Linked DNA regions of Arabidopsis thaliana. The protein of the gene in region 2 interacts with the protein of the main gene of each other region in a pairwise test. Each region holds a gene or a part of one and is shown on either strand. Other genes may lie near its edges.

Region 1 (3,372 bases), on a different chromosome or scaffold from region 2:
GTTTTTGTAGTTCCGTTCTGATAAAGCTCATGGTTAAGTTCGAAGAACCGCTTGCATGTGACTTGGGTGGTGTCTGTAATTGAGGGTTCTATGCTCTTTGCCGTTTATGGCTCGGGCCAGCAGTAAAATGCTTCCAGCTCTAAAGGTTAACGTTTCATTGGTCTCCACTTTTTGCCGCGCCGTCTCCACTTTGTGCATCATAGTGGAAACATACCAATTGGAGTGATATCTTCCATCCCTCCCACATTTTTCACCTCAATCTAAAGGATCTCTCATATTTTGGCATTTGTGAATATTCAAATCTGATAAACTACCACGTACCCCAAACAAGAGCATTAAGGTCACATTTAAATCACTATCACCTAACAGTCTAACACAGTAATAAATTCTTTCCGTTTCACAAAAGGTTGATAAATCTTTTAAACAAACAGATCCATTAATTTCTATCTCACTTAGAAGAGTAGATGCCTAAAACGAATGATACAATGAGTACCATCAAAACATGAATACCATAAAAAAAAAAATGAATCTATATAAAATCTGATGACAAAAAAAAACGAGTACTATCAAAACAGAGCACAATGAATGCTATAAAATTATTGGGTACAATCTCTAGCAAATTTCAACTTGAGACTTTTCTTTTATTTATTTCTTTATATACATATATATGAAACGATTCAATTATAAACCGTAAACAACAATTACCAATCAAGATTCTTAATTAAAAGAAAAAAAAATAATTTTAAATTATTAATTTACAATCACAACCACAGAGCCCCAACTTCCTTAAGAATTGGAACTAACTCACCGGAGATATGAGTAGCCATAACCCTATCTAACCCTCCAAACAACCTCCCTCCTACATAAACCGCCGGTAACTTCACCGTACCTCCGCCGCCTTGAACTCCAATATTCTCCAACTCACTCAAAACTTCATCTTCCCTCTCCTCATCAATCTCAAGGACCGCCGGATTCACTCCAAGTCCAAGAAGCAGCCTCCTCACCACATGACACATGCAACATCCTCTCCGTCCAATCACAATCACCGCGTTCTCCTCCACCACCATCCGAACTCTCTCGCCGTTTCCCTGCGTTTTAAGCGATAGCGGCCGCAGAGATTCCCCGACGGTTGTCGTCATGTTATAATTTCTTGCACAAGAAATCGTTCCTTGCATTTTCAAGTATGTTTTTAAAGATAGATACCAATTAGGAAAGGAAGGTTTTGTTATATATACATGAAGAAAGAGAGATCAGAGAGGAAAGTCTAGCGTCAACGATGGTTACGTAAGGATGTGCGTCACAGGAAGCTATGGGTGATGGTGCTGTTTACGTCACTGGATTGGAGTGGACTTAGTCATAGGACCGTGTCGTTATATCGTATCACATGTTTCACGCTGACTTTTTGGATCCCACTTTATTCTTTTAATAAATCTGCACGTTTTAATTTTGGTTCCTCTCTACTTTACATAATATTTTACTGCTTTTTTCATATCAATAAAAAATAGGAGAATTCTCAGAATTTATTACTATTATATTTGGGTTGTTTCGAAACTTTCGATAGATGGTTGTATACTTAGAAATATTCGCATGTGACGACCACATAGTGGATGCTTGCTTCTTTCGATCTCGACCATCAAAACGGAATCACCAGACTATATACAACAATTTTGGTAATCTAATACTAAAATTGTAGAAAACACAATTTTGTTTTGGGATTGCTAAATAAATACACTAGAGATGCTAGAGAGACCTAGCCTAAACTTTCGATATTTTCCGTTTTATCATTCAAGTAATTAATATAACATTTAGGTGTAAAGGTTAATAATATATATGACATTATATTCTTAGTGATCAAAAATCTAAACATAAACTTTTAGGAAAAAGACATATACTACTTTCCAAATTAATGTAACACGATCATGTCATATAGTAATGACCATGTTTGGATGAAAGTGGTAATTATGAGACGTGATTAAGTACTCTTGTTGAATCCTTCTTTTAAACCAATACTAAGAATAAGTTTGACATTATTGTCATATTATTTGTACTCGGACTTTCCGAGTAGTAGTGGAGCCTTATTAACTAATAATAATAATACGCATGACAGGAAAAAACTGAGAAGGTCATTTAGAAAGAACCATCGTCGAAGGATGGACGGTGGAAAAGTCGGTAGACGTCAGCACCAAGCCACCAACTAATTTGGTTTGTTTTAATGGAATCATGACGTCTTTCTTCTTTAAAACTCATGTCACCCATTTCTTCCTAAATTTGGACTATTATATGATTATGGGAATTGCATTTCTTTATTAAAGTCACGTGTCATCCTTTAACTTTATAAGTTCTTCAGGTTCCAAACTCCAAAGCCTTTCCAATTTTATCGTTCCACCAAATCCTGAAATGAAAGTTCAACATCCATCATGGTCCCAAAACGTTAAAAATATTTTAAAAAATAGAGTGTGGGGGATTTAAAAATTCATGACCGCTAGTAAAATATACAAATTTTCAACAAAACAAATTGCATGACCGCTTTGTTGGAGATATTATATTTACAGTTGCCTAACGTGAGAAGTTTGCATAACAAAACTAATCACAAACTCACAATATATACCATTCTTCTGTGCACCGGAAATCTATAACACTTAAAATCTTAAATGTGTAAACCCTAAAATTTTACCATACAATTTTTGAATTGAGAAAACAATTATTTGTTTTTGGTTTCTAGGATTAGTAAACAATCATTTATAGTAGCATCGGATTTTTCATGGACTATGAATCTTCTCAATAGACAGACTTAGGTCACGCTTTAACCAACAAAAACTCAGCAAGAGTGGTTTCTTTCTTCTATAACAAATGCCAAATATGCGTTTCAATATAACCATTTTCTATAACAGTTAATAATCAAAATTTTGTAACGTAGAAAATGGTCTTTATTAATACTGTCGTAGATTTGTAATAACTTATTGGGCTCTGTGGTCTCTTATTGGGCTTTATAAGATTCTCCAGTAGCCCAAAAATAAACTTTCAGCGAATCTCAAAGCCAACCGCAGGTGATGCGTTTTGCTATGTAAGAGAGACGAATCTCACGCCGGAATCTCTTTTACTTCACCGTCGTTTGTTCTCCGTCGCGTCACCTTTCGATTAATTCCTTCACAGGTAAGGAAGCTTCTTCAATTTTCCTCTTACATCAATTCTCCTTTCGCATTGATCCTTGTCGTTATCGTCTCTAAACGCAAGCTTTTTCTCCAATGTTTGTGTCGATCTTAAAGCACATAGATTGATAAAGCCGTTCCGGTTCTATTGAATAAAATTCTAACCCTAGATTAGCCAGGATTTAATCGGAATTTCTCTGGATCTAATAGTTTTGTCGAGTTT
Region 2 (5,936 bases):
CAATCATGAAAGCAGAGGCAGAATAAGAAAACTGAAGAACTAAAACCCCTAAGACTATTGAAGAAGAGACTCACCTGAAAAGAACGGATTCTTTGAGCTTAACCCCAAACAAAAGTTGCTCGGAGAAAAAGCGATTTAGAGAAAGATCCGGAAAATTCCAATCTACAACTGCAAAGACGTGGTCTTTGTCTAAAACCCACAACAGATATAGTATCAATCACCAACAAAGGTTACTACTTTTGTATCTTCCTTCTTTGAGGTATTTTTAGTTGTACGATCTTCTTTTTTTTTATTTTGCCGGTCTCTGAAAAAAAACAGGAATGGAAGACGAAACTCAAGTGATGGTGGACCTCTAGATGCTGAGGGTTAAAAAGTCCTCTGAAAATTGCAACACTCTCTTTTTTCTAAAAACAAAATAATTCTTGGTTTTGACAATGACATGTCCCTTTTTTTATTACAAAAAAATCTATCACACTTACTTTGAATGTAAATTCATTTTCATCATCTCTTGGAAGTTTACATTAGAATCCTCACTAAATAAGATTTAAGACACAAGCGATGAAACTACAAAACTCAAATAGAACATCTTAATATTGTTAAATGATTACAGTACAGAAGTTGCAAGGTTAAAACACCTTTACCACACACAAAAGTAACAAAAAAAAACAAAATTCAATAACCTTTCTAAGATAATCGAAGATGCTATATAAACAACATTGAACTTTTCAAATGCTAAATTAAAAACTGATGACTACAACTAAAACAACATGAATTACCACAACCATGTAGAAGAAACCTACATACAAAGAGTCTTTTGTTTCCCAGAAATTTGCTTATTTGTTGATGGATTTGGTAAGAAGAATCTGACAAGTGTTGATTAATAGTCTCTCCTGGTTTTGTGTCCATATGGATTTTGTACAGCTGACATGTGACCAAAATACAGTTTCACTCTCTGGGTCGAGCAAGCCATAAGGAGCTTAGAGCTCGTAGCCGTGAGAAGTAATCGTGTATTGCAAGTAGAGCACGTGCTGACTGTCTCGTTGTTAATACTCTTATCATCTGTTGCAATGTTTGTAGTCTCAAATTATCAGCCTGCCACCACCAACCAAGAGACGATTATTAACCTATTGATATATATATATACTCTTAACTAAGATATCATCTCAAAACATCACAAGTGTTGTACCTGGCGGATAAATCCTTCGAGTGTACCTAACTTTCCCATTGCCATGGCCATCTGACCCATGTAGCTTGCGACATTCCCTGATGAACTTGAACCAAGAGTCCCGCTCGATAAAGTATCAGCTAGTGACTGTTGTAAGCTCTCCATCCCTTGAGACAAAGCATCTTCAGCCTGCTGCGATGTCTGTTGCAGGTTATTTATGCCCATCAACTGTCTCTCTGTCATTGGCTCCAACTGATTCGCCAGAAGCTGTTTCAACACATTTTTCCCTATGACCATTCTTTTTATGTTCTATGTAGAAACAGATGCAATCGGTGAAGACAAAGTGAAATTTGACCTCACCTTTAGAAGTTCGGATGAACGAAATCCACCGAGCCACAAGAAACATCTCTCAGCTGGTGTTTTCCACATGCCAGATAGCAAGTGAAAGACATCATTCTTAGCTGCATTGCTCTTTATCCTGAAAAGCTCCTCATAGTGAGCCATCACACCATCGACTATTATTCGAAGCTCAGAATCACCTGCATGCGCATTCAGAGCAGACCTCAGCTCGTTCATTTGCTTGTTCTTTTCTTCCAACCACCGTGAATGTTCAGCATCAAACGCCAAAGCACCTGAATTAAAAAATTTATACATGATCAAAACAAACCCATGAGATTCGTCATCTTGTAAATCTAAATCTACACCAGTGCTAATTAGAATAACAGTTTTTGCTATCAGAACCATGTCAGTCTGCCACTGACTCTGATAACCCAGTGTATTGTAATGGGATGAGATATGATGTACTAATTGATCAGTCTACACCAAGTCAACAGGAAGTTGATATATGAACTTAACTTATACACAAATTAGAAGCCAAAAAATAAACATAATTAAAACTAATGGAGAATAAGCAACCAACCATTTCCACCAGTAGAATGGGCCTGGTCTCCTGTGCCTGAAATGAAGACGCCCTAGAAACAAGAAATTTACCGTTAGGTATACAGAATAACAAAATAAAAATCAATAGAAATAAGAAACAAATTTGAACCTGCTGTCTTGCTCTTTGCAGCTCCTGCTCAAGCTGGGTTAGTTTCAAGCGGCTGTTCTCTAGCTGCTGAACATAAGCCTATGGAGGGAGCAATTAAAAGGAATTAACGTAGTACCAAATAGCTATGCTTCTAGCGATGCACCAATTTAAAAAGAAAAGAAAAAGTAAAAAAAGATAAAACCAATGGAAGGTAATATACCTTCTTCCTCAATCTGCTTTTCCTTGCTGCCTCACGGTTTTGAGCAAGCCTACGAAGAGTCTATGGATCAAAATATAAGGAAACAAAAAGAGATTATAAATTGGCTGAATAAAAACAGTGATCTTATCTACAGAGATGGACATGTCACCTTTTGATCCATCTTTCCCTTCGATCGGTCACTCGAATCAGAAGCAGCAGTATTCACTAGTGCTCCCTCCGACTGCATTAAAATTAACACCAGAATTTTTGTTTGGTCCATAAAAAATCACACTATTTTGAAGAATATAAGTGATAAAATCTAGCCAGATTATGAGCTAACCCCAAGATCAGGATGATCTGTGTCGTCATCTGTTGAGACATCAGTTCTCGGACTGGTATCAGCCATATTACTTTCTCACCACTTTTCTGTACTAACACTTGATAACAAAGACAATATCCACTTGTGGCCTCTCTTTTAGTAACAACTTCTTGAAATTTCTCTTGTGTGCACAGACTGCCAGGATTCGGAAGGAAATTAAGAAAAAGAAAAAAAGACAGAAAGAACAAAATTAGGTGATAGAATATAAAAGAAAGATCAACACCTACCAATACGAATCAATAGGAAATGAATCAGGAACAAATGTTGGTCACCCGGAGCATTGGCTGCGCTGAATGAGCACAAAAAAAAACAGCATTACATACCATCTCTTTTGCTAACATAGTTTTCAATTATGTCCTATAAAGTCAAGAAAAAGGTTCTCTAGTTTGTTTCAGTTAAACAAGCCAGCTAAAGAATGCTAAAGAGTCCTTTACTTATTCAAAGTGTCCTAAGGGAAATTCTGCTGACTACCATAAGTCACAAAGTCAAATATATAAGAACAATCTGTTTGTAGCTAACAGACTGACAAAAATAGCCCATCAAAAACACAACCTTTAAAGCAATTCATCAAACCCAATCAGACATGTAGCTTGCACAATCTACAAAGTCTGAGAAACTCATTCAGACCTTAAGCTTAGCTCGCGGATCAAAGTCAAAATCAGTGAGACTTAAGGTGTTGGCACAGTCGAAAATGCCTGAGTTTGAAAAATTAGGTACAGTCACACTCACACACATCATTTCAATTCAGTTTGAATGACACTAAAGTAGCTTCAGTAGCTGAATCTCTTAGTTTTGCAACTCTAGCTAGAACAAAAACTATTCAGTATTCACATCCGAGTTGACTCAATTCCTTACTCAGTATTCATATCCGAGTAAAGTAAAAAAAAAAAGCTAAACTCTAAATCTAGAACCAGTGAGAATTCGGCATGAAGCTGCAGCTATGATTTCAAACCAAGAAACTACCACCGAAACAGAATTCAAGAGATTAACATTTAATTCGATGATTTTGGTAGCTCAAAATTAAGAACAAAATCACCAATTAAAAAAAAAAAAAAGCTGAACTCTTTAAGCTTGAGAAAGTCAACTAGGTTTAACTTCAAAAGCAAAAAGACAGAGTTAACAAGTAGCTTCTTAGGACTGTGAAGGAGAAAACTCCCAGAAAAAAAACAAAGGAAGAAAAACCCTAGAAAAAAAGGTTGGCTTGATGAAGAAACTGACCTGGAAAAACGAAATCTTGAAGGTGCACAAGTAAAGGGCTTGATTCGAAATCGGATTGAAACAAAGAAACAGAGAGAGACACGATCCGAAATTCCAATCTCCGAGACGTCGTTTTGTCTACAAATCTACCAGTTCCCCATAGACCCTCGACCAAAATTTAACGGGAAATTTCAAACTAAACCCTATACTCTTTATTTTTACCATTAACCAACCCTACTATCTTATAATTGCAAAACCCACCCCGTATTTTCAACACCTGAAATTCAATTCACTCTCACTCTCACTCTCACTCTCACTCTCACTCTCTCACTACTTCACTCATTCAGCAGATCCTCTTCATTCTCTATTCTTAACTCATTAATGGCTACCAGATTCAAGCACCAGTTTTCAATCTCACTAGCCTTGACATTCTTCTTCTTCTTCACCAAGACCTTCTCTTTCACAGAGAACGAGGAACTTGGTAACCTTCTCAGATTCAAAGCCTCCTTTGATGATCCAAAAGGCTCTCTTTCAGGTTGGTTTAACACTTCTTCTTCGCACCATTGTAACTGGACTGGTATCACATGTACTAGAGCTCCTACTCTTTACGTCTCTTCCATTAACCTTCAAAGTTTGAATCTTTCTGGTGAAATCTCTGACTCCATTTGTGACCTCCCTTACCTCACTCACCTTGACCTCTCCTTGAACTTCTTCAATCAGCCTATCCCACTTCAGTTGTCTCGTTGTGTTACTTTAGAGACTCTTAATCTCAGCTCTAATCTCATCTGGGGCACAATCCCTGATCAGATTTCTGAGTTTAGTTCCTTGAAAGTTATTGACTTTAGCAGTAACCATGTCGAAGGTATGATTCCAGAAGATTTAGGGTTATTGTTTAATCTCCAAGTTCTCAACTTGGGAAGTAATTTGCTCACTGGTATCGTCCCTCCTGCTATTGGGAAGCTAAGTGAGCTTGTTGTTCTTGATTTGTCTGAAAACAGCTATTTGGTTAGTGAGATTCCTTCTTTTCTTGGGAAGCTAGACAAGCTTGAACAGCTTCTGTTGCATAGGTCAGGGTTCCATGGAGAGATTCCTACTTCGTTTGTTGGTTTGACAAGTTTGAGAACCTTGGATCTGAGTTTGAACAACCTGAGTGGTGAGATTCCTCGATCATTAGGCCCTTCTCTCAAGAACTTAGTGTCTCTTGATGTCTCACAGAATAAGTTATCTGGCTCTTTCCCTAGTGGCATTTGCAGTGGTAAAAGGCTTATTAACCTTTCTCTCCACTCGAATTTCTTTGAAGGGTCATTGCCTAACTCCATTGGTGAATGCCTTAGTCTGGAGAGGCTTCAAGTGCAGAACAATGGATTTTCTGGTGAGTTTCCAGTTGTGTTGTGGAAATTACCCAGGATTAAGATTATTAGAGCGGATAATAATCGGTTCACAGGTCAAGTGCCAGAGTCTGTGTCTTTGGCTTCTGCATTGGAGCAAGTTGAGATAGTCAACAATTCCTTTTCTGGTGAAATCCCACATGGTCTTGGATTGGTTAAGAGCTTGTATAAGTTTTCTGCTTCACAAAACCGGTTTAGTGGAGAGTTACCGCCGAATTTTTGCGACTCACCTGTCCTTAGTATTGTAAACATCTCTCACAATAGGCTCTTAGGAAAGATCCCAGAACTGAAAAACTGCAAGAAGCTTGTCTCTTTGTCTCTAGCAGGCAATGCATTCACCGGAGAAATCCCGCCATCACTTGCTGATTTACATGTTCTGACCTATCTTGATCTATCTGATAATAGTCTTACTGGTTTGATCCCTCAAGGCTTACAGAACCTAAAGCTTGCTCTTTTTAACGTGTCATTCAATGGATTATCAGGTGAGGTACCTCACTCTCTGGTCTCCGGGTTACCAGCTTCCTTTCTGCAAGGAAATCCTGAGCTTTGTGGACCCGGTTTACCCAATTCTTGCTCCTCTG
Region 3 (3,452 bases), on a different chromosome or scaffold from region 2:
TTGAAATATTAAAGACGTTTTTAATGGTCTTTATAAATGACCTAAAACTGCATATGAATAATTGACCCCCGACCATATATTTACAACAAAACGACAGCTCAATCTCGTCACATTATGTAATGAGAATGAGGTGTCCTTCTCTCGTCACTAGCTTACTTACTTTATGTTTCATCATTAAATATTTGGACATGTGATTTAATGAATTAATTAGTTATAAAATATAATAGAGAAAAAAATAGCGTTGGAGAACATTCAAGTCAACTTGTATTTGTTTGGTGGTTTCATCTGAAAATCCAAAATAACTCAATTTGTATTTCATTTATTTAATTGTGATATCTTACTAATTTTTGCAATCTGGTACAGATCAGAATGAATGGATCCATACTGTTTAAAATATATATATATAGATGTTTTTAGTAAGAATGATTGAATGTTATATATATAGAATCGAGTTCACGCTTTTGTGGAGATTTTCTATGGTGACATCCTAACTCACACGTATTTTATATTCTTTTCTGATTCGAAGAAGTTTTCTATGCCATTAAATATAGTTCCAAAATCAACCCATTTGCTTTTGTTAGAAATAATTTTTGCGTTATGACTTATTAAACATATATGAGATTTCTATAAGTCATTGGTATGTCACTTAGCTAGGAGGTTGCACGTTCAATTTTCTTCTCAGTTTGGTCATAGTCGTCGAGACAATGCATACCCGGCCCATTTCTTTAGACCATATCCGAAAATGAACCCTCTAAATATTCAAATTCTTGTATATTCTTAAAGCTAAACAACTCACTTCTGAAAACTGCTTAAAAGATTATTAGCTTTTGAAACATAAATATATAAATTTATCGGAGAGAAAGAGTAACTATGAATCTATGATCATGCATGGCTTATAAGGGAGTTTGTAGTAGCCATTATCGCCAGCCTGCCATTATCTTTTATGGCCACTTCTTCAAGGTTTCATCGTGTGAGTGACCATATAACCTCACTTAGCTACTAACCCTTTTTCAATCATTAATTATAATCCCTAGAAAGCTTTTTACCAAACCAAAACAAATATTTCTATATAGGGCAAGTCTCCGATCTTACGGGAAGCACTTTTTGGTGGTAATGGAAGAGGGGGTTAACATAGATATTCAGATGGTCATATATATAATTAATATAAGAATCAAGAAGATCAATTCCAAATATATGCTGAGTTTGTAACTATGTTAAGTTTCATGGATTTCTAACTCTAATCCTTATCTTTCGAGGTGATGATTGTCTTGGTCCAACTCAAATTGTTCTCATTCTATGAAGGACAACATATCTTACTTGGACCAAATAAGTTCCTTAATCTTTAAACAAAATCAATTGGCGTTAGTAAATTAATTCATGTCCTATACATATTACTCTAGGTCTAAGCTTACTTCAACTGACATGGGATCTCATAATCACTGGTTTACTTTAGTCAAGTGGTAAATGGGAAAGAATCTTGGCAAATTGTTGAAAGGGAAGTGGCACACAAGAGAAAGTAAGAAACCGATAGGAGTTATTATTCCTTCATGATCAGAAGTGAGATTGAGAGAATCTCACAAAGACAATCATATCTTGTTGTATAGTGACATGTTTCAAGAATAGGGTTTTTAATTGTTGACACACACACGATCCAATCCATCAAACCCAGCCTGATCTCTTTTTCGTGGCTGCGAAAAATACCGTCAATCAAGAGAAGAATAAGCATATCTCTCTGCTTATTCCCCACCACTTTGGGCTATCTCACACCCACACCCTTCATCTGAGCATGATTCTTGAACAAAATAATATTCTTCGAGAGAAAAAGTAAAAGCTTGGTCCACATAAATTGTAAGATTCTAATCCGATCATGCATAAAAAAGTTGCAAATACATATATAAAACATGTGCGGATGTACCATATTCTTTAGCATCTGCAACAAAGAAACATATTGTCCTGTTCAACTCAAAATGCTCACTTTGGTATCTAGGAGGAAAAAAGGGTAGGTGAATTGTGATTATGCAACTTTTGTTGGTCCTTCCTTACTAATATAATATGAATTAAAGAGGAAAACAAAATATTAACAAAGTCACTTTAATGTACTTGGGGAACCTTTAGCTAGATCTCCTGTGATCTCTCTTTTTTTGGTCTCTAACATTCTTTTCTTCTTTCTTTCTTTGCTTATAAATAGCATATGGTTCAAGAAACTCAAGTCTCAGGCAACACTGAGCTTAATACTGTAGTACACACACACACACACACACACACACACACAAAACCCTCTTTTCTTCAAACAGGAACCCCAAAAGCGAGGTTTAATCTCAGGCGTTTTCAGTTCTAAATCTCTTTCAATCCACAAGAGAAGGAAGATTTTGTTTCTTCTTCTCCAAGAAACAATCCCTAGATTGATCGAGACCTCCTTCAAGAAACCATGGACAAAGTTGTGAGAATGTCGTCAGAGAAAGGAGTGGTTATTTTCAGCAAGAGCTCGTGTTGCATGTCCTATGCGGTCCAAGTACTTTTCCAAGACCTTGGGGTTCACCCAACAGTCCATGAGATCGATAAAGACCCTGAATGTCGTGAGATCGAGAAAGCCCTAATGAGGTTAGGGTGTTCCACGCCGGTCCCAGCCATCTTTGTGGGTGGGAAGCTCATTGGTTCGACCAATGAAGTCATGTCGCTTCACTTAAGCGGCTCGCTGGTTCCGCTAGTTAAGCCGTTTCAAGCCAATCTATGTTAAAAAGGTGTTCTAATTTTCTATACTACAAAAATGTATTTCAATAAGAAACACAAATCTTATAGCCTATGCAACCTTTGTAATGTAGCTTTATATATATATTGTTTGTTCTGTAATTTCAGGTAATATCCAATAATAATTGACTAATTTCTACTCACCAGTTCAACTTTTAGCTTTCATGGTACTGTTTCAGGGAAATAATAGAACATTCTTCTTTTATTTAAGTTAATTAAGGGTAATAAATAACATTCACTGCTAATTCTTAAGACCCCACCCCAAATAAAGAGTACAGAGTATATATATTTCTACAAATACAGAGCAATTACAGGCAACGATTTGTCTTCTTGTCTGATTCACAACAAGAACAGCAGAAACTGATAGTTGTTGTGGTGTTTCATTTGAGCTCCAAGAAACTTGGATTTGGATTGTAAGAGTTATCTGATGAAGAAGACATTGAAGACACATTAATGGGATATACCTCCGTTACTTCTTCAGTCTTCTCATCAAAGTAGACCACATCTTGCATTGTTAGCTGGTGATATTCGACGACTCCTCTCAGATAGAGGTTTTCGCGGGTGTATATCGAGTTTTCATGAGCCAACCGTGCTTTCTCAGCTAACAGTGTTTCCAGTTGAAGTCGCACCTATAGATGAGAGAAAACACACAACCAAAGATCAGAAATGTACATAAAGAAATGTTAACATTAATGGCTTTGTAA

Evidence for each region.
Region 1: the proteins of AHBP-1B (region 2) and GRX480 interact in binary tests that used the Arabidopsis thaliana proteins (3 or more experiments, as listed by UniProt).
Region 3: the proteins of AHBP-1B (region 2) and AT2G30540 interact in a two-hybrid assay, tested with the Arabidopsis thaliana proteins (2 studies listed by BioGRID).

Annotation. Positions count from the first base shown.
Region 1 is NC_003070.9:10,012,873-10,016,244, forward strand, and holds GRX480 (Thioredoxin superfamily protein), read right to left. Parts: upstream 1,385-3,372; 5' UTR 1,176-1,384; coding exon 762-1,175; 3' UTR 562-761; downstream 1-561. UniProt on the Arabidopsis thaliana protein: Has a glutathione-disulfide oxidoreductase activity in the presence of NADPH and glutathione reductase. Reduces low molecular weight disulfides and proteins.
Region 2 is NC_003076.8:2,149,184-2,155,119, reverse strand, and holds AHBP-1B (bZIP transcription factor family protein), read right to left. Parts: upstream 4,281-5,936; 5' UTR 3,989-4,280; exon of another isoform or gene 3,985-3,988; intron 3,812-3,984; exon of another isoform or gene 3,323-3,811; intron 3,060-3,322; 5' UTR 2,998-3,059; exon of another isoform or gene 2,994-2,997; intron 2,906-2,993; 5' UTR 2,798-2,905; coding exon 2,732-2,797; intron 2,633-2,731; coding exon 2,561-2,632; intron 2,473-2,560; coding exon 2,413-2,472; intron 2,292-2,412; coding exon 2,214-2,291; intron 2,137-2,213; coding exon 2,085-2,136; intron 1,798-2,084; coding exon 1,526-1,797; intron 1,433-1,525; coding exon 1,187-1,432; intron 1,093-1,186; coding exon 946-1,092; 3' UTR 534-945; downstream 1-533. Other genes in the region: AT5G06940 (Leucine-rich repeat receptor-like protein kinase family protein), read left to right, coding at 4,349-5,936.
Region 3 is NC_003071.7:13,010,544-13,013,995, reverse strand, and holds AT2G30540 (Thioredoxin superfamily protein), read left to right. Parts: upstream 1-1,952; 5' UTR 1,953-2,428; coding exon 2,429-2,737; 3' UTR 2,738-2,891; downstream 2,892-3,452. Other genes in the region: AT2G30530 (zinc finger CCCH domain protein), read right to left, coding at 3,129-3,377. UniProt on the Arabidopsis thaliana protein: May only reduce GSH-thiol disulfides, but not protein disulfides.